Linked DNA regions of Mus musculus: regions 1 and 3 are each reported to be linked to region 2. The links are microRNA targets in miRTarBase. Many come from high-throughput screens and were not tested one by one. Region 2 holds a microRNA gene; each other region holds the end of a gene's coding sequence.

What was found. The annotated mature microRNA mmu-miR-29c-3p reads UAGCACCAUUUGAAAUCGGUUA and lies in region 2 at 5,241-5,262, opposite strand. An mRNA with a match to its seed (bases 2 to 7 or 8) in the 3' UTR can be bound and repressed. Matches are read on the target gene's strand: a 7mer-m8 pairs with bases 2 to 8, a 7mer-A1 pairs with bases 2 to 7 and ends in A, and an 8mer does both.
Region 1: miRTarBase lists Pigt as a target of mmu-miR-29c-3p. Seed matches in the 3' UTR shown: 7mer-m8 at 1,430-1,436.
Region 3: miRTarBase lists Eps15 as a target of mmu-miR-29c-3p. Seed matches in the 3' UTR shown: 7mer-A1 at 1,490-1,496 and 7mer-m8 at 2,759-2,765.

What each region holds. Positions count from the first base shown.
Region 1 is chr2:164,506,785-164,513,902 of GRCm38, forward strand. Pigt (phosphatidylinositol glycan anchor biosynthesis, class T) reads left to right here. Exons shown (of 12, transcript NM_133779.2): 12 at 491-1,517. The coding sequence ends at 743. Among named protein-coding and RNA genes, the nearest start is that of Pigt, 13 kb to the left of the region's middle.
Region 2 is chr1:195,035,744-195,042,861 of GRCm38, reverse strand. It overlaps Mir29c (microRNA 29c), which reads right to left and starts at 5,315; the gene lies at 5,228-5,315. Cd46 (CD46 antigen, complement regulatory protein) reads left to right here. Exons shown (of 11, transcript NM_010778.4): 11 at 849-1,624. The coding sequence ends at 870. A330023F24Rik (RIKEN cDNA A330023F24 gene) reads right to left here. Exons shown (of 8, transcript NR_015566.2): 8 at 4,954-7,118. It overlaps Mir29b-2 (microRNA 29b-2), which reads right to left and starts at 5,822; the gene lies at 5,742-5,822.
Region 3 is chr4:109,384,136-109,391,253 of GRCm38, forward strand. It overlaps Eps15 (epidermal growth factor receptor pathway substrate 15), which reads left to right. Exons shown (of 25, transcript NM_007943.3): 25 at 1,184-3,682. The coding sequence ends at 1,330. Among named protein-coding and RNA genes, the nearest start is that of Ttc39aos1, 19 kb to the right of the region's middle.

The DNA of each region.
Region 1 (7,118 bases), not on the chromosome of region 2:
GGCCCTCTTGAAATCCTAGTGGCCTATGACATTGGTAAAGATGTATAAAAGGCTAAGACAAAAAGGTGAGAGTAGTTGCAGGTACCTACCAAACCTAACATCAGTGGAACGCTTACCTAGTGTCAGGGACTAAAGAGAGATAGAAGATAGACAACGTGGCCTGTCCCCTGTGCTCAGCCGTGGGCAGATTGTTCTAGATAGCTATGATGGTGGAAGCGGTGGTGGTGGAGGAGGTGGTGGTGGCGGTGGCGGCATGCAGTAAGTTAGCTATTTTGAGGAGAGCCATTAAGGCTGAGACTAAGGCAGTAGACAAGGCGGCCCTTTGCTTCCGTGCTGGTGCTCTCCTTTGATCTGATCAGGTGAGCCTGCGCTCTCTGGTGAGGTGATCCTTATTGGGTGTCAGCACTAGGACCTGCAGCACAAGCTGTGGAGAGTAGGGAGACGGAGGGTGGGGCAGCAGTCCTGTCTCAGCCCTCCTTCCCATCCCTAGGTTCCCGGTGTCTGATGGCTCCAGCTACTTTGTCCGACTCTACACAGAGCCCTTGCTAGTGAACCTGCCCACCCCGGACTTCAGCATGCCCTACAATGTGATCTGCCTTACGTGCACGGTGGTGGCCGTGTGCTATGGCTCCTTCTACAATCTCCTCACCCGAACCTTTCACATCGAAGAGCCCAAGTCGGGCGGCCTGGCCAAGCGGCTGGCTAACCTCATCCGCCGTGCCCGTGGTGTGCCCCCTCTCTAGTCCGGCGTGCCCGTGGTGTACCCCCTCTCTAGTCCTGTGAGCCCGTGGTGTACCCCCTCTCTAGTCCGGCGCGCCCGTGGTGTGCCCCCTCTCTAGTCCGGCGCGCCCGTGGTGTGCCCCCTCTCTAGTCCGGCGAGCCCGTGGTGTGCCCCCTCTCTAGTCCGGCGAGCCCGTGGTGTGCCCCCTCTCTAGTCCGGCGTGCCCGTGGTGTACCCCCTCTCTAGTCCTGTGAGCCCGTGGTGTACCCCCTCTCTAGTCCGGCGCGCCCGTGGTGTGCCCCCTCTCTAGTCCGGCGCTCCCATGGTGTGCCCCCTCTCTAGTCCGGCGCTCCCGTGGTGTGCCCCCTCTCTAGTCCGGCGAGCCCGTGGTGTGCCCCCTCTCTAGTCCTCCCTTTCCCCAGCAACTGCAGCTGCACTCGTCCGACCCGAGGGAGCAGGGCAGGGCTTTTTCTGCCACCCGCTGTGTCTCCAGAGTTAGCTTTTGAGGCTAACTCCCTCTGGAGCTGGTCTGGGCCAAGGCGTGGTTTCCAGTGTGGTAGACTTGAGCCAAATCCCTTCCCATCCTCTCCTGTGGCAGCCGTGCTTCTGCCTACAAGGGGCTCGTGCTGCAGTATACCGGACAGCCTAGCGATGCTTCCGTCTTTACTGGACATTCTGATGGCCCAGGCAATGGGCGCAGTAGAGCTGTGGTGCTGTTTGGGGGTGGGGTGGGGTGGGGTGGGGTGGGGGTGAGTGTCTGTGAACTTACTGATGTAATAAAGTGGCAGCCTTCCTAGGTCGTTGCTTCCTTCCTAAGGCCTGGGAAGAGTTCCCAGCTAAAGCCTGTGATGCCTATGGGCCCACCCCAGACAGAAATGCCTTCTCGTCTGTGTATCTCCCACCCCTCTCGTAATGACTCCCCAACTCTGGTTTTGGCTGGGAGATTTTCTGTAAATATAACCTATGATCATGAAAATCCTCCTAGCAAAGGCAGAGCAGAGTGGCTAACTACAGTGTGTCAGAATGGCGGACTCTCTGCGGTGCCTGGAAATGTTTGGTATTAAGGACCACTTCTTAGCCAGGTGCTGCACACCTTTAATCCCAGCGCTTTGGGGGGCAGAGGCAGGTGGATTTCTGTGAGTTTCAGGACAGCCTGGTCTACAGAGCAAGTTCTAGGACAGCCAGGGCTACACAGAGAAACCCTGTCTCAGAAGCTAAAGGAAAAGGACCGCTCATTAAATCAAGCACTAGCCCTGGAGCCTGCCCTTGCCTATCTCCTTTAGAGAACGCTGGGTTCCTGTAGAACAAGTCCTTAAGCAGTAAGCCTCCCCCACCCCAGCTTCGCCAGCATACTCAGGTAACTTGTTCTCTCTGCCCATAGCCCACGCTTCCCTCCCAGCTCGTCAGACAAAATGCATTGTTCACCAACCACACACCCTTAACTGCCTGCTCACTCTTGCTTCCTCTGGGAAGGCTGTGACCTGACAGGATGCCATCAGTGCCCTCTGTCTGTCCTCCCTCAGGCCCTTGCACTGTCCCTGTTGTTACCAGTGCTTGCTGCATGGATCTTCAGCAGGATGTGACCATCTCAGGACATACCACCAGTGTCCAGCAGTGCGAGCATGGGAGCGAATTCTGGTCTGGGATCCAGGATAGAGAGGGGAATGGGGACACCCTGAAGTCTGTCGATGTGAGCATAGCAGTAGACTTGGCTTAACTACTGGCTGGGCCACTTGGGTCTTTGAGCAGCACAAGAATGCAGGCACAGGAGGGAATGGTGCTCGGCTAGTCCAGACTCAAAAGCAGCTTGGTTTAGACATTTCTTTTTGCACTTTCTCCCCGAGTAGCAAATAAGCAGGCTGCGATGGGCATGAGTGTGGCTGGGCCAGGAGCTGGGATCTCAGCACTCCAGGTTGCAGTTAGGATTGTGAGTTTAAGGCTCAACTGGGCTACATAGACCCAGTGTTTAAAACACAGAAGAAAACAAAGGCCGGGCATATTGGCCAGTGCCTTTCCTTTGAGCACTAGAGAGGCAGAGGCAGGTAGATCTCTGAGTTTGAGGCTAGCCTCATCTACATAGTTTCAAGACAGCCAGAGCTACATAGAGAAACCCTGTCTCAAAATAAGAAAAAGAAAACAAAAATGTAGGTGGGTGGCACTTGTGGTGGGGAATGACAGCCAGGTTAGAAGAGCTTGAAATGGGCCTGATTTTTCTCCCAGCATGTCAGCTAGAAATGGCCTCAACATGCTGGCTGCTCCTGCATGTATGATCGATTGCCTCTCCCAACATTGATTTACACAGCTGCCCTTCTCTACCCGCGTTTTCCATTTGATGGCCAGAATCCCCATCCCTGAACTTGTCATAGTCCCTGTCCCACCCGAGATGTGCTCAACCACTGTCTCCTGTCAGTGACGTTCATCCCCTTTGCACCAGTCCAGCCCTTTGAGGTGTCTGGTCTTTTCTTCCACGTCCGGTGTGCACCTTCAGAACAAATTCAGAATCTGACAGCTTTGTGTATGTGGCACATATGGAAGCTAGATGTTACGGCAAGTGTCATTCCTCAAGGTCTGTCCACCTGTGCTCTTGTGTTCTGTGTATGTTCTATCTGCATGTATGTCTGCATCACATGTATATGGTGCCCGTGGAGACCCTGTGACGGGTTACAGATAGGCCACCGTGTAGGCTCTGGAAATGAAAGCCAGAGAGCAGCCTATGCTCCTAACTGCTGAGACCTCTCTCCAGCCCACTACCATGTTTTCTGAGAAGGGGTCTCTCCCTGGGTTGGAATTGGCCGAGAAAGCTAGGCTGGCTAGGCAGCAAGCACCCACGATAGGCCTGTCTCCTCCTCCCTGGCTCTGGGAGTACATGAACATGCCACTGTAGCTGTCTTACATGTGTCGTAGGGATAGAGCTCTGCCCCTTGCTCTGACTCCCGCCACCTCCCAGCCTTCCTGACTTCTTCCTTCAGGAGTGTTTCCTAGCACACCCTGTTTGTAGTTGCCTCCCAAGCCCAAGCTATTTCCTTTCCTGACTGTTTTCCATTCTACGCTACCCTTTCTAGCATACTGTGAGCGAAACTGGTACTCCTCAGCCGCAGTGACTGGACAGTCAATAACTAGTACTCTTCAGCCACAGTGCCTGGATGGTCAGTAACTGGTACTCCCCAGCTGGAGCGCCTGGATGGAATTTGCACTTGGAAGGTTGGAGGAATGTGAGATACCTAAGGTCCTGCAGAAAGCTCCCTGCTAAGCAAGTCAGGCCAGCCAGTTGTCAGCTCTGGAATTCCTGAAATGAAATTTTGAGTGTATGTGTGTTGTTGACAAGGACCAATACTGTAGACCCTTAGGAATTGGCAAACCCGTCCTCAGGTCCAAGTCTGAGTGTTGACCAGTGTGTGCAACTTCAGCTTCCTTCTCCCAGAGGACTGCAACCTGAGAGTGCTCCCCTACAGAGACCTCCTACTGAGACGAGCTTACCCCAACCGGTTCTGTCCTGAATAGACAGGCTGATGTGGGTCTGGATTGCTGTGGAGTGGTTGCTGTGAGTGTTGCCCACCACCTTAGCTTCCCTCTCCCTCTCCCTCTCCCTCTCCCTCTCCCTCTCCCTCTCCCTCTCCCTCTCCCTCTCCCTTTCTCTCTCCGTGCCTGCCTCTTTTCTTCATTCCCTTGTTCAGCCAAACTTCCAGTTCCAAGCTGAGCTGCATGTGGCTCCTGGCAGCCCTGCCCTGCCAACACCGGAGTGACGGGACTTGGGGACAGAGCATTTCCTCTAAACTCTCTAAGCTGGTGTGCACCTGACCATGGTCTTCTCCAACAGTGTAGCACAAGGCAGTGGTATCTGGGGAAAGGGCTAGGGGTGCCCAGTCAGGCACTTGGGCATGGTGAGCCAGGCTAGAAGATGGGGTAGGTGGGAGGAAGAAAGGAAGGCTTCTGTCCCGAGAACTCTCAGGGAAGGACTAGGGAGGATGAGGCCCTGAAGACAGGGAGTAGCTCTTCACAGTTTCTGTTTACCTTGTAACCTGCCTCCATCCTCTTCATTAGACAGACGTCAGCATCTTTCACATGCCTGCCAGGATAGTGCAGGACACTATAGTGGGTTCCTTGTGGACTATAGGAGTCAGAGAGCTCTGTCTTTGCTTCTGTTCATCAACCCCACCCCCACCCCCAAGCACTAAGAATCTACGAGTATTAATTTAGAAGAAGAAGAAGGGCTGGAGAGATGGCTCATCGGGTAAGAGCACTGACTGCTTTTCCAAAGGTCCTGAGTTCAATTCCCAGCAACCACGTGGTGGCTCACAACCATCTGTAATGAGATCTGATGCCCTCTTCTGGTGTGTCTGAAGACAGCTACAGTGTACTCATATAAATAAAATAAATCTTTAAAAAAAAAAAAAAAAAAAAAAAAGAAGAAGAAGAAGAAGAGGAGGAAGAGGAGGAGGAGGAGGAGGAGGAGGAGGAGGAGGAGGAGGAGGAGAAGAAGAAGAAGAAGAAGAAGAAAGAAGAAAGAAGAAAGAAGAAAGAAAAAGAAGAAAGAAGAAAGAAGAAAGAAGAAAGAAGAAAGAAGAAGAAGAAGAACAACAACAACAACAACCACCCTAGGGAATTCTATGTTACACGCTGTGTTCTGTCTTGGAGCAGGTAAGCTGCCAGGCAGGGACAGTCACCAAGCACTGGCCTCTTGTTGAACAGAGGCTGACCACGTACTGGACTAAGCTCCTTACAAGTAACTCTCTTCTCATAACAATCCTATGAGGTATTATGTTTGTTTACAGATGACCCTAAGGGCTTAAGGATCCTTAGTCTGTGAGAAATGGGGCAGGGATTAGAGCTCAGACAGCCTGATTTGTAACCCGTGCTCATACCACCGCAGCCCCTTCAACAGGAGAGTGAGCCACTACCCTAGGTAGAAAAGAAGGAAATGCCTATGCTAAGCCAGTAAATGAGAATGTTCTAGCGAGGTCAGAAGGAGAGGGAGAGGGAACTAATTTGAGAGGCACAAAGCTGGCAACAGCTGCCCCTGCTGGGTGTTCTCAGGGAAGGAGGCTCACGGGGGGGGGGGGGGGGGGGGGGGTGCGGCGGCAGTGCAGGTCCTGTATAACCAGAGTCTGAAGGGATCGGCCATGGAAAAAACCCCTTCCACCCACAGCAGAACCGAACAGGAGGCACAGAGGTCTGGATTGAGGCAGGGCCTCTGCCTGGGCAGGAAAGGCTGGGAGACAGAGGAAAGGTGGAGCCACCCTTGCTTAGCTTATCTCATAGTTTCCAGAGTCCGCTTGGTCTGTGCTCCTGCCTCTGGTACCTCCTCCTCCATGAAGCCTTCGCTGTCCCTTTCCGTACCTTCAGTGGTCATATCTTCAAACGGGCTTCTACAGTCATGCAATAACTAGTTCACTCACCCACTGGTCTTTCTGGATTTCTTTTTTTCTATCCATTCTACTCAGTCAACAAATATTTATCTAGTATTGGCTGTATGCTAAGCAATGTTCTAGGCACTGGGGACCTAGCCATGAACCACGAAGGGAACCTCCACACTCAGCGAAGGAGGCAGATAGTAAACACATTATGAAAAAGATTAAGCAAGATGCCTGTGAGGTCACACATGGGAAAGGCCTCCAAAGGGGTGACAGCAAACGGGTAGATGGGGCTCCTGTCTATTTGAGTCAAGCATCTCAGCTTGGGCTAGATCCACAGTAGGGTTCCATCCTCTCTTCACTCCCCTTGGAGCCTAGGCCAGTGCTCTTCCTGGTGTGATTTCACAGGATCCAGTGTGGTCTTTGGCAAATCCAAGAGGATACCAGGGCATGTATAATGTGTAACATTGAGGAGTAGCCCCAGACACCAGTGTCATCCCCAAAGACAAGAGTGTCATGGAAATGACAGCATGGAGTCCCCAGTTCTGGCTTCCGTTTGATCTGATGTAGCTGTTTCCCAAGCAGCAAGAGCAAATGGCTAGACCAGGTGCAGGACCAGAAGCGGTGATTGGGAAAGGGAGGGATCCCCATGCCCGGTCAGGGCAAACCCACATTCATTGTCAAAGAATGTAACAATGGCCCTTGTCCAACCTTAGAAAGAAAGGAAGCTGACTCACGGATGAGCCCTGAGGACATTATGCCAACTGTGGGCGGAGGAGTGGAGTCCCACCCAAGCTCATGGAGACTCCCCGACCTTCTTCCACTCCCTCTGCAGGCTCTTCTCACACGTGTTTCCTGCTAGGCAGGAAGAGCATTCAGGAGCTTGGAATGGAACGGCAGGTGAAAAAACAGTAGTTCAGGCTCTGGGGAGAGTGCAGACTCTCCAGAGCAGAGCGCAGTTCATCCTGGCTCCTAGGAGACACCCCTCCCGCCCACCTCTCCTAGGAGGGAAATTTGCTTCTCTGTCTTCATCATCTTTCTGAGGG
Region 2 (7,118 bases):
CTCCCCTAATACCTGCTCCTTCCCCCTTGTAAGTGGCACTCCTGTTGTCAGCTGCACTGAAGGAGCTCTGGAGGCAGGTCATACTCAGGTAGAACAGAGCTTGACCTCCACCAGGCCCCAGCCCACTCAGGCTCTGAGGAACTACTGCTGAGAGAAGAAACCGTCATTCCTGATGAATTGCCTTTTCTGAGGTGTATTTTCACTTTTATGTTTAGTAGCATAGAGGGGCCAAGGAGACATCCCCTTGAGAAGATTGTGAGTCCGAACTGAAACTGAGCGAGGGTGAACCCTGCTTTGAGTATAAACACCTACAGTCACTCTGAGTGAAACTCCAAGCCTTTTACCCTCCAAGTGGATACTTCAGGAAGATAACTCTTGGACAGAAAAACAAACAAAACAAAAAAACCACCTAGGAATTTGATTAAGAAAAATTGAAATCTGTACTCATTTTCACATTCTTAAAAAAAGAAAAAGGTAGCAGTTGTACCTATACACGGTGCTATACTTAAAAATCATAGCATTTAAAAAAGAGGCCAAAGATAAGTTAAGACAAAGAACTACTAATTGTTTAAAGACAAGAAATGGCTTTACTGTTTTAAAACTTAATTTAAAATATTTTCAATCAAATATTTTATTTTGAAAATAAATTTACCTTTATAGCTTGATCTGCTTCAAATTTAACCTTCAAATTACTATTTATATTTGACACATGTCTGTATAAATATACATTTTATTTTTATCAAATACTTTGTCAGTTATATAAATATGAGGAAAAGTGCTTTTTAAAAAATTGTCCACATGGCAGAGAAAAAGGCATATTTGAACTTGAAATGTTCTTTTAACTACAGAAATGTATCTGCAGCAAGATGAAAATCTCATGTGTGGAAGTCATTACTGTTCCATTTTTGAAAACTGGATCTTCAAGTCTGGCAAACGCAAAATTATATATTTGCAGGAGCTTCATTTGTGGTAATGTGTGTGTTTCTAGTGTAAATCAAATCTGTGTTTATAAATACAATCTGTATCTAACCTCTCTACTATAACCTCACATTTCAGCCCCTGCAGCTCACCAAGGGTTCTCAGTATCCAACCATGAGTGCCTGTGTACTAAGCAGAATGTTCTGCCTGTGACATGGTATTTGCAGGAAGAAGGTCACATTTCCAAGCAGACACCAAACCCTGTCCAGTTGGAGCTCTTATCCCCATGCCTCACACTTTCACTGCACATAATGGCTGTGAATTAACCACATCTGTGCCTTCCACACTCAGTCTGTCACCTGAAATGCTTAATATTCTCTCTAAATCCATGTACCTCTAACGCCAATGCATGTCCTACCAGTCCTGTGAAGCTCTAACTCCTCAGGTTCTTTATCTTTATTGGTTAGCCTTAAGTTAGCCACATTTAAGAGTCTGTATACATGTGCCTAATAGGAGATGTAATTTTCATATCACTTGAACGTATTCATAGGTCTCAAAAAACAAAGTAAAACCTGTGTAACTAATAGGACATGATGATTTTTATGTGAAAATAAAAATGTGACAGTCAACTCTCCATATAAAGAGGATAACAGCTTAAAGAAAATCAGAGTTTAATTCTACCTATTAAAAACCAAATTTTCAAAGACTTGAACTTAAAGTTGTTCATGGGTTGGGGATGAAGCTCAGCAGAAAGCTTGCTCAGCATGTACAAGACCCTGAATTCATTCCTTAGCACTGGGAAGAAAACAGTCATTAACAGATTATTAACTGTTTGCTTAAAAGTATTGATGTCTGTCAAAATAAGCAATGATAAATTGTAGTTTTAAAATATGATATAGTAATGTTTATGAACAATATAAACACAGAATGAAAATTGCATTGACTAAGCATTTTTAGAAAATTAACATGAGACTCTAGCATATTTTTAATTGGCATAAAATATACAGAAAGGACTTTTACAGTAACCAACAGTAAATTGTCTGAATTATGCTAGAAAGACTCAGGGGCAAAAAGAACCTGAATATTCATCCTAATTTTAAGGTTTAAGGGAAATAAGCAATTCTACCAGAGAGCTAACATTTTAACCAAGACTGGATTTTTCATAGTTTAATAATTTGCCTATTTAAGAACAGAATTGAATGAATCCAATACACAACTATTCTTCCTTATGCATCAGTATGCTTAGGCTCTCTAGGCTCATCCTGAGATTACCCTAAAATGAGCTGTCAGCCTTTGAGATCATAGCACTGCTGCCCTCCTGTGGACTGTTTAAGTATCTGACAGTCTTCTGCCTCTTCACTGTGACATTGTCATTAATTTTATTTTAGATCAGGTAGAACAGTAGCTCTCTTCTGCTTTTGTGAAGGTAGTAATTAATTTTTTTGTTCCTCACTTCTTAAATATGGGGGATATATAATACTTGGTGGAACAAGTGAATGCATAATTTCCCTTCTTGCTTGTTTACATACAGCAGGTGAACATATTGCCACACAGACAATGCTGAAAAACTATCCACCTTGATTCCCGACATGACTGGACAAAACCCAGTAAAACCTGAGTACAGGTATTAAGACCAATGTGAGGAATAGCTCTGAAAACTGTTGTACATTGCAATGCTGAACCACTATAAACAGGAACTCTAGTGTTTGGAGTTCATTGGGAATTTAGGGCGTATCTAATGCTTAGTTGAACATATTAAGTATGGTGCTTGGAAAAAATTAATCTGATTACCTACCTCCACCTGCAATGCCTACTCAAAAAAAAATTAAATCTGTACTCGAGGTGAGCTTCAACCATGAAGAATTCCTTCTGTAGGCTCCCATAGCAATCAATATACTTCTCAAACTGATGTGCAGGTTAACCACATTGTGATTTTGTTAAAATGTGATGACTGATTAGAGAAGACATTGTGGCCACATCGGCAAAATGAGATCCTGCTGGCCTTTGAAGCTTGAGGGAAAGAGCAAGGCAAAGAACACAGCCTGTTTACAGAAAGAAGCAAGACAACTACTTTTCCTTCATATTTCTGAAGCGTTTGTGTCTGATAGTACCTTGATTCTAATCCAGTGAAAATGTTATATTTCTGCTATTCAGACCTGTTAAGAATGTTGTGTGTGTTAAGATATCACATTTGTACTAATTTGTTACAGTACTGACTTGAAATTTATGCACTAACATATTAACTGGCAGCACATAACTATGACCAAAATAGTATGGTCTTTTCAGAAATAGAGAAGTGGCTCTCAGCCTTGGCTCTACAATAGACTCATCTGAGCCCCATTCTAAAGCCAGCTAAAATAGTATTTGCTTGCAGGAATGGGACCTGAACCTGAGGATCACTCTTTTGGTGACCAAAGCCACAGTAATGTGGTACTGAGGTAGAATGTGCCCCAGATCAAACACAGATTTATCTCCGGCTTCCCTTAAAAGTATGTTAATATCAATGTGCTATCTATTCCTGAGACTATATGCCAGCTTCCAAACAGAAGGCCTAGACCAACTTCTTAAAGATGCTAGGGACTAAACTTAATTCATTTGATCTACTAAACTGGTTGCAGATCTTTCTTCCCCCAGTTAACAAAAATACACTGTATTCACTTCTAAAAAGTCTGGTAAGGCTTAATTTTAAAAAACTAATGCTTTAACAAAAGTCTTTATACCTGGGTTGACAGCATGGTTTTATAAATCTGATTCAGGAGGGTGCTGTTAAAAAAAAACCTACATTACTAGCCAATTATGAAAAATTATCCCAGAGTGACAATTTTATGTAAAGGGCTATAAGCATCCAGATAAAAAATAACTGAGAGGTGTTCTGGTTTCAATTTGCTTCTCAGGACATCAGGATATGGCAAAGTTTAAGTATTCAATGAGAATATTATGATTTTTCTAAATGGAAATAAATTTTAAATCATTGTTTTTGTGCTTTGATATTAAATTCAACTTTCTAGCACTTAACTCATTAAAGAGCCAGAATCATGGCCTGGGGGAGTTTCAATCAAATTTTCAGTACAAATTAATTGGGAGCTTTGGACAGAGTAGCTATGTTTTTTTTTTTTTTAAAGACTTAATGTGTAGTTAATACCACAGACCCAATCTGTCATACTTAGAGGAGCTGCAGTCTCCTACTTTAGTGGGGTAAATTAAAAAATACAGCTGAGGGACTTAGCTATTCCTACCAGCACATCCTTAGATGTGACTTAGAACATGGATTCTTCAATCAAAGGCTTGAAATAGCTTTGCAGCTGCAGGATGCATCATAGTCGCTGGGAAGTCTTTCCAGCAAATTCTCCAACAGCCTCCCACTTCCAGCAAAATGGGCAAGGCAGCCATCTGGGGTAAGGCAACTGGGATGAAGGCTTAGAAGAAGCTTCCTGAGCAGCTGATTTGCCATTAGTTATTAAAACCTACTGGCTTGAAATAATTGTACTGCAGGTAGTTCATAGTTAGCTATGCAACTCCTATGGAAGGGGCCACCTGCTTTCTTCCTGAAAGTTCCCCAATCATGAACCCTGCCCCTCCACCACCCCCAATGCTGGCAAATCTCTGAACAGTTTTATAGAACTTTTTCACCGCCTACTGAAGGGTTGAAATAAACTATCAGTGGAAAGTAGAACTCCCTCTGCTACAAATACAACTGAAATTAGCCTGCTCCCCTTTAAGGGCCACATGACAGTGCAGTTAAGTAAGTTCCCTGCAGCAACTGACAGGAGGAGGGTCAGAGTCCACAGTTCCCTTGGAACCAAGAATAGTCTTCCCATTTAGTAACATCCCTCAGCCTAGAGCTCCAACCTTCTGTCTCTGCTAATCTTTCATCTTTAGAATTTCATTCCTGTCTTAATGACCTTCATTTTTAATGTCTGCATGCAGCAACCTACTTCCAATTCCTTATGATTGGCACAGCAAATTAACTTTCCAGGGACCACTTCTCATTGCCATAGAATTATGAATGAAAAATAGTAGATAAAACAGACATGATAGATTGAATGTAGCAAATTATTTATTAAAGCCAACGTTTAACAGTACTTAGTTTATAACAGTACTACATGTCAGAAATTGTAACTGAGAATATTTTACAACAATAAATTATAACAATTAAAACCCCCCACTAAGTGATCTCTAACCTTGGCAGCCACATACATACGAATTAAAGAAGTTAGGAAACTGTGATCTTCCTTTTCCACTCTGCCCACGTAGGAAGTGATAGGCTGATGCTGATGCTGACACCACAAGGTTCTGAGGCTGGTGCTCTTCCCCCTACATCATAACCGATTTCAAATGGTGCTAGACAAAAACAGACTCTGAACACCAGGAGAAATCGGTCAGCCTGTGTAAGAGATGGACCGACTGGTGGTGTTCTTCAGGTCTGAATCTCAAGGCAGGTGACAGTCTGATTTCAGCTGTGCTGCAACCAGGACTGAATGAGTGCTCCATGGATCTTCCAGGTTCAGACGAGCCATACTGATGTGAATGAAGCAGTCCTCCACATACAGAGCTCTTACCCCTTCCTTGCTACAATTAATGAACAGTGCAGGCCCAAGGAACCCTCTTCCACCCATGGAATGCTGAATAAAGTAGACCACTTCCTGATTATACCCTTATACATTCTGAACACAAAAACTTTCTCACTATCACTGCCTCTAAACCAAACAGACTCAAGAGCAAATGTCACTATTCAAGTCTTCCCTTGATTTCTCGAAGGAGAGAGCCAGTTCTGTGTACAGCTGTTCCTCTGTAGTCTACCCTCTGCTGTGCTGCAATTCTTACTCCTAAAACACTGATTTCAAATGGTGCTAGATACAAAGATGGAAAAATCTAAGCCACCATGTGAAACCAGCTTCCAGAAGAAGAGGATCTCACTGAAGAAAGCAGAGATGTGCAGTCAGAAGAACCAGCCTCAGCCCTGAGAATCATTTTGCCTGTCAGACGCAGATGACAGCCATACAGCCAACACTTTGAGCAGACAAAAACAATGCAAAGCTTGTTTCCTGTGTGACTTCACATTAGTCATTAGAAATCATCATACACAATGAAATAAAAGAACCAAATCCATTCAACATATGTACATTTGTAATGTCTTGAATTTATGTAATTTCCCAAGATGCATAGTGTCGGTAGATATGTCACTTGTTCAAGACAATGACAATGACCTATGAGATGTTAACAACTGAACCCAAGTAAGTCACCTGTGCCAGGACAACTCTTCCACAAGTATTATTCAAAAAGAGTATGTTCCTTCCTGCTCTCTATCCCATGACCCTGTAGGCTAGCAATTTGATTTAACCCCTAATGTCTTTTTAAAAGCTGGTATCTTAACACTGTATTATACAGATAACCCTCTAACACAAAACAAGGTATGTTTTAAAAATGTACCTAAAAATAAGATTCACAAGCTATGTTTCACATTGTACTGCATTTTTGCTGTATATTTCCTCTGATGTCACAACTGTCATCTTTGAAAGGAGACAAAGAGTAGAGCTGTATTTTTCAGGTTCCCCAGAAAAACTTTTTGGCTTCCAGATACAAGCATATTTTTTTATGGCTCCTGGCTGTTTTGGGGTAATAGAGCAAATATAATGTGAGTATCCCCAGAGTCACAATATTCAATTGTTCCAAGATTCCAGTGAAGTAGGTTATTATTCCGATGTCTGCACAAGAAACTGTAGTCACAGGATACGATGAGCTAATGTCTATATTCCTTTCCCTCTGCCCACTGTTGCTGCTTGATCCACAGCTTGACTGTGACCTCTTTTCTCTTGAACTGAACTCAGAGCTAGACTGGGGAGGGGGATTTAGCTCAGACAATCTGGATGGGAGACTCACTGTAAACATGCTATCCCTGGGTGAAGATGAGAACACATCGTTGGTACTGCAAGAGGTCAAGTAGTCTAGGAGGACCTGCTTTTGTTCTTTTGCCTCATTGGTGCCCCTTTATTCTTTCCAGCAATAGAGAAGATGATAGCAATGAAGCCTAGCAATGCTGACACTGACTTCTCAGAAACTGGGCCAGCCAGAGGAGAAACAGAAGGCCCAGCAGCCTCCCTGGGGCTTTCCAGGGCCTTAGCTGCAGATGAGTGCTGGAAGATCTATACACTGGGTTTCTGAGTGACACTGACATTGGTTGGCAAAATTAGAGCCTGAGG
Region 3 (7,118 bases), not on the chromosome of region 2:
TAAAATAACTGTCTGGCAGTTTGTAACAGTCAGTGTGTTAAATATGGATCTGCAAGTAAAACCTGGTTGGAATGACTCTTGAACAGTAGTGGAGGCATTTTGCTTACTTTATACTTGAATCTCAGTACAGTACAGCATAGTAGCTCACAATAAAGTCCTCCATTTTCACTGGGAGAGGTTTGATAAGCACACCAAGAGTGACAGGTACACTGTCAAAGCCTTCCAGTTTGTTTCACCTCTTTTGATGGGTCTTCTCTTGACAAGACTCAAGCCAAGTAGAATTTTGTATCTAGTATCTACTGAAGTTGAAATTTGGTTGTAGTTACAAATATTTTTTCCAATCTAATTAATCATCAGTATTCAGGTTTTACTTAAGCTGGGTCATTTTAGTTATATAAAACTGGGTTAAAAGTTCCTAAGGACTATCAGAAACTATGTTTGTTAAAAAAATAATAATAATTAGGTTCACATTCTGTATCTAACGTTCTTCTATGTAGCAAAATTTGTCTGTTTTTGCTTTATACTTTTGGGGTTTCCTGAGAGGCCAGGTAAAGCGGCTATCACCAGTGGCATTAATTTTAATGATATGTCAATCAGGCATGCTGCCATATGGTTGTAATCCCACAACCTAGGACACAGGCAGCAGGATCATGAGTTTGAGGCCAACATAAGCCACCTAGTGATAGTCCATCTCAAATAAAATAAAATAAAATAAAATAAAATAAAATAAAATAAAATAAATCCAGAAGGGAGGATTTTATGGTGAAGTGAAAGATTAGACCACTCCTGTTTTTAAATATCCTATTCTATCCTAAGCATTTAACCTGTTTAGAGAAAATATCACTGTGTCCCAGATTGGCTTCCTTCTTCCTCAGTCCCCTATGTTCTGGGACTGCAAGCATATGCCACCATGCCTGGAATTGCTACTTTTTAAGGTGATGATTTTAATGGCGTACTTTATAGGCCTTATTATATTTTTATAGACTTATTTTCCCATAGATTGTGTTAAAATTTTAAAGTAAACCAGAGCTCAGTAAGTAGTTAAAATACATTTTCAGAAAAACAAGGAATTAGTACTATTCCTTTAGGTAAAACAAGTAGTTAGCACTCTTTTATAAAAGGTCTTTTGTATGTCTTAGCTTATTTTTTAATTCCTTCATTCTTTGGATCTTTTAAATGGCAGTATCCCTCTGAAGAAGATATGATTGAATGGGCAAAAAGGGAAAGTGAGCGGGAAGAAGAACAGAGGCTTGCCAGACTAAATCAGCAGGAGCAAGAAGACTTGGAACTGGCCATTGCACTTAGCAAATCTGAGATCTCAGAAGCATGAAGAGTTATCTGTCCTTTGTCAGCAGTACAGTGCTCTCTGGAACACTGAAGCTATTTACCATGTGCATCAAACTACCTATGAGCATGGGATACAAAAGGTTTGAGATTCCTAGAAATGTGACAAAAGTCTAGTTTGTTTTTTTTTTTTTTTTTGGGGGGGGGTGCTATTTCAAATGTGTCTTTTATTTTTTCTTCCAAAAGCAGTACCCTAATTAAACGGCTTTGCCTAGACCCCTGTTCTGGTGTGCATTTATAGTGAGCTCTTGCCTGCTTGCACTAGCCCCTGTAAAGCTAGAGCATCAAGCCTCTGCCTTCTGGAACCTAGCAGATGTAGTTTTGCGCTGTGCTACCCTTGTCCTGTAGTTACTATGACAACGACTGGAGTTCTGAAAGTGTGCAAGTATTCTCCCTGAGCTGAGTGCTTGAAGGAGGGGGAGGGAAAGAGTATCCTGTTTCTTCTGATCGGTACAAATTAGTCAGTTTAAAGTGCATTATATGTACTTCTGGAGAAAATATAGTTAAGTTACTTAGAGACAGGGGAAAATATTCTGCATAGATCTACTCCACTATTGAAAACTGGATAAGTTAAACCATTATTGCTCCAGCCGCAAGTAATTCCTAAATAAAAGTATTAAAGCCTTGTATATGAAACATGTTTTTAGAACAATTTTCTCTGGACTTAAAGAATTTTACGATTAACAGATACCTCACGACATGTTTCCTAGTTAAAAACAAACAAACCAATTTCTTACAAATAAAATTTGTAAGGATATGTTCATTTTAAGTGCTAGTGAGGAAAATTTGTAACTTAAAATATAACCTATCCGTTTAAGCAAACACTTAGCCTGTACCCATTTTGCCTTTGTGGCTGCACTGACCGTAGTTCATAAGTGACCTGAAGTCTAGGAAGCTAGAATTGGAAGGTACTTTGGTATTCATTATGTGTTTTGTTTCTTTAGTGAAGGCCCAGCTATTTGCAGTGATACAAATGGAAGAAATAACATTTGTTATATCCTCTTACTTTCTGTCCATCTTTGTAGTTTAAATTTCTTTATTTGCTTTATTTGTCTCACCAATAAAATTGACAAGCTACCCCACCCCCAAAAAAATCCTAGTTTTTAAATTGAGAGAAAAATAAACCAAGTTGCCAAATTATCAGAGCCCTACTTTTGTTAAAAGCCCATCTTCTGCTGAACTGGCCTGACAGACAGCTGGATTTTAAATGGATTTGAAGTAAACTATAATTTGTAATTTTTTAGATAAGAGTTACTAATTTAGTGTTTGTAATACCAAGATAAACAAAAATGCACCTACAAACTATTTAAAATTCTTTAGGATAGCCAAGTTAAGGTGGTATTGAACTGTTGTTAGAGTAATTTACTGCCTGGCCTATAAGTAAATTCTAGTGTCTAATCAGACCATTTTGAAATGGTGCTTTTTTTTCTTTTCCACATACTATTGGATAGCTGGGATTTAAAACAAACTTCAACCACTTTCTTGCACTGCTAACTTTTTTCTACTTTTGTAAATAAATATTTCAGCATAAAAGTTAAAACATGAAGTAAGGGCTGAATCGTAATCACAAGGCTTTAATTGTGATAACTAATTCCGTGGCCTAAGTGCTTGCTGCAAAGGGTGATGAGCAGGTCAGGTTGGGTGGTGTTCCTGTTTGCCCCTTCCTCTCACTCCTCAGGAGAAAGGTAAGTTGACTTGAATAACCTTCGTTTGCACTGAGAAAAGTGAAAAATGTTTGAAATGCTTTAATTTTTTTTAATAAAAAACACTCTGGAAATATTAAATATCTATAACTTATAAACAGCAACTTTTGATGTGTAGTAAGTGTGCCCTAATCTTCTGTGCGCTTAGCTGGGTCATAGAGGTTCTTATCCTTTGTTAAGATGTGTGTGCTCAGTGGGCCAATATCATACTAAAGTATGTAATATGACATAAACATATCTATATCTCCATGCTTGAGTGTATAGAATGAATGTCTTAAGAGCCATTTGTGATGTTTTATGGTGTTGACCCTGGCTCCAAAGCCTGCGCTTGAAACAAAGACAGAGTTTTAACCATCTTCCTTTTATGTACTTGTTCAGCTTTATCTGTGCTCTCTTCATAGATGTTCTCTCATGTTTCAAACTTATAAATTACTGTTGTAATTATGAAGATAATAAACTTTAATAAGTAAAAATGTGTACTATATCATTTTGCATTGAAACTTTGTGCTGTTCTTGATCGTGTGCATATGGTAGGAGGAGGGCAAGTTGCCATCAGCATACATTATCCTGTATAAAGGGTTCTTACAGTACTATAGAGACTTAAATAAATGTTGAATGCTAATTCTATAAACAAACTTTGTTATCTTGTCCTGTTTTTTGAAAGGAAGTTAGGATATGTATCTTCATAAAGATAGAGCCTGAAACACGTGGCTGTGTAAGGACGCGTGCCTTGGGTTCTTAGGATGTTCCTGACCTCAAATCCCTTTTCTGCTGTTTTTGAGAAATTCCTTTAAGTCATACATGGTTGTGCACACCTTTAATCCAGGAGGCAAAACCAAACAGGTCCGAAGTTCTGACCAGCCTAGTCTATGTGGCAAGTTTGAAGTCAGTCTGAGCTACATAGGGAGACCCTTTTTAAAAACAAGCAAGAACAACAACAAAAGAAAGTTCTTTAGCCTCTGATTCCCTGAACTTCATTTTCCTCATTAATGAGTTTGATAGTTTGGTCAATCTCTTGTTAGATGGAGGTCTTGCTATCTCGGGCTAACCTCCAGTTCAATTCTTCTGCCTCGTGAGCAGTTGGAATTACAGCCATGTAATACCCTGCCCAGCTTGATACCTTTTTTTTTTTTTTTCGAGACAGGGTTTCTCTGTGTATCTCTGGCTGTCCTGGAACTCACTCTGTAGACCAGGCTGGCCTCGAACTCAGAAATCCGCCTGCTTCTGCCTCCAGAGTGCTGGGATTAAAGGCGTGCGCCACCATACCCGGCAACACCTTTTTAATACTAGCTATTTTAAGGAAATAGGTTCACTGCCCCCACCCCCCAGGGCCTCCTTTACCTCTGAGCTCTTCCCAGCCTCACATTAGACTGTGTGGTGCATGTGACGCCCTATGCCAAGCATTTTGTGTCTGCTTGTGTTTCTTGTCTAGTTTTCACCGTAGGACTCGGTAAGGACAGGTTTTCTCCTGTTTTGAAGATCTGTATGAGAAAGTTAAAGTGTGTGCTTCAGCTTACACACCTGAACTCTTGATTCCAGCATGGTAATGCATGTAGTTTACATACCGTATTTCATTTTGTGTGAAAAAAATGCTTCTAGAAAATGGTAGGAACAGGACATGATAAATAATGACTGTCATTTTTAAACTTGTTATCATGATCCTCAGTGTTTAGCAAATATCAATCCACTTAGTCCTCACAACCGGAACTCTGAAAAGTACAGGTGTCTCCATTGTTCAGAAATACCCAAGTGAGAACCCAAGAAACTGGGTCCAGAGGTTTACTGCTACGCGTTGTTCTTAATAGAGATAAACCAGAATAGAAATACCATGCATTATCTATATAGTCACTCTTAATGGAATAAGTCTACTACATCACACCTGATATCTTAAAACATTCCTCAGAGCCCAGTGTGGTGGTGCACGCCTTTAATCCCAGCACTGAAAAGGCAGACAGGTGGATCTTTGGAGTTGGAGGTCACACTGATCTACATAGAGAGTTTCAGGTCAGCCAGAGCTCCATCAAGAATGAAGAAAAAGTAGGCCAGGTGGTGGTGGCGCACGCTTTTAATCCCAGCACTTGGGAGGCAGAGGTAGGTGGATTTCTGAGTTCGAGGCCAGTCTGGTCTACAAAGTGAGTTCCAGGACAGCCAGAGCTACACAGAGAAACCCTGACTCGGAAAAAAAAAAAAAGAAGAAGAAACGTAGGAAGGAAGCATTAATTCTCTCAGGGCCCAGATAGATGCCCAGTGGTTATGGGCATTTGCTGCTGTTGCAGAAGACTATAGAGTGCAGTTTCCAGCACCCACTGATGGCTCACGACTGCCTGTAGTTCTAGCACCAGGGATATAGTACCCTTTCTGACCTCAGGCATTCACACTCACCTACACAGATATGACTGTAACACATAATTAAAAATAAAACAAATCCTACATGAGTTGCTGACATGAGAACTCAATTGTAAATTATTAACGTTACCATAAACATAGGGCAGAAAAGGCCAGCCTTACTTTTTATTAAATACAAGTTTAAGCCAGGTGGTGGTTTATGCCTAATAAGACTAGCATTCTGGATGTTCACACAGAAAAGTCCTCGGAATTAAAGATCAGCCTGAGTTATAAGTTTGAAGCAATAAGTCAAACAAAAATGAACAGTAGCCAGTACTGCTGAGGCTCTGAAGGAAGACGTGACTAGGGCAGTAGAGGCACTGAGGAATCTGGTGGCCAGAGTGCCTGGAGTGAATGAAGCCCTGGGCTGAGTCCCCAGCACCCTGGAAACTGGCAGGATGTTGCATGCCTGTGATCCCAACACTCAGAAGTTGAAGATTATCGTTGGCAATATAAGGAATTCAAGTCCAGCTTGGATTCTATGGGCTCCTCATCCTGAATAAAAAGGAGGTAAGTTTTAAATATTTTTAAGTAGCTCAGTACAACATTACATTTATACATTACATTTATGGATAAAAGAATGAGTTGTCTTTATGGTTTTTTTGGTATAAGCTCTCCTTGGTAATCGAGGGGATTGATTTAGGGAAAAAAATAAAGTGAAGTTAGCCAGTTGAGAAGTTTTGAAAAGTGTTATGGCTAGGCCCTAAGAGGAGAGTGACTCCAGAACAAACTGAGATTAGCAAATCATAGCTTCTAAATAGATGTTAGTGAGAGGAGAGTAACTCTGAGTTTAGAAGCCTCCGGATCGTCTGGAAGGTGTATTAAATAAAGGTCGATGGACCCTGCCCTCAGCTTATGATTAGTCAAGTATAAGATCCACAGCCACACAATGTTTGATGTGTATTTGAAAAGATTTCTTCTTCAGGAGGCTTCTCGTAGGTGGCATTTATCACTTTAATGAATTTAGCCTGCTCCAAGATCCAGACCTTTCTTTAGAAACCTTATTTCATCAGTAAAAGAGGCTGATGTAAGGTCAAGAATATTGCTTTCCCATTATCATTGTCACTGAGCTTTGCCCACAGTAGATTGAATCTGAAGCCTGCCTTCCTTCCTTCCTTCCTTCCTTCCTTCCTTCCTTCCTTCCTTCCTTCCTTCCTTCCTTCCTTCCTGGGGCTACCATTCATCTCAGCTGCCTGGACCAAGGGCATGGTTTTCTAGATTAATATGTTTATTGAGCTAACATCTGGTTTGGCTGGTTGGGTGGCTGTTTGGCTCTTTGGGATAACTCTGCATACCTTGGCTTTTGATTCATTGTATGTAAATCTTTCAGTGTGTTAAAGAGCATCATTTTAAATTTCAGGAAATAGAATTTGTCATTGAATATGTGCTGGGCCACAAGACAAAATAAAAGCCACTGATTTTTTTTAACATATTTCAAATTCAGGTCTTAATGTTACATATATTCTGCATAAATGATATGAATGACACAAAAAATTATCTTAAGCCAAGGATGGTCATAGGTGCCTATAGTCTGACGGCAGAGGCTGAGGCAGGATTGATTGTGTTCAGAAGCTCGTAGCAAGCCTAAGAACTGTTAAGACCCTATGTCAACTAACTCTTGTCTGACTGTTTCCTAAATCTCTTGACCTCTCTGAACACGGTAAGAATAACCTTTTAGTCTCGGGA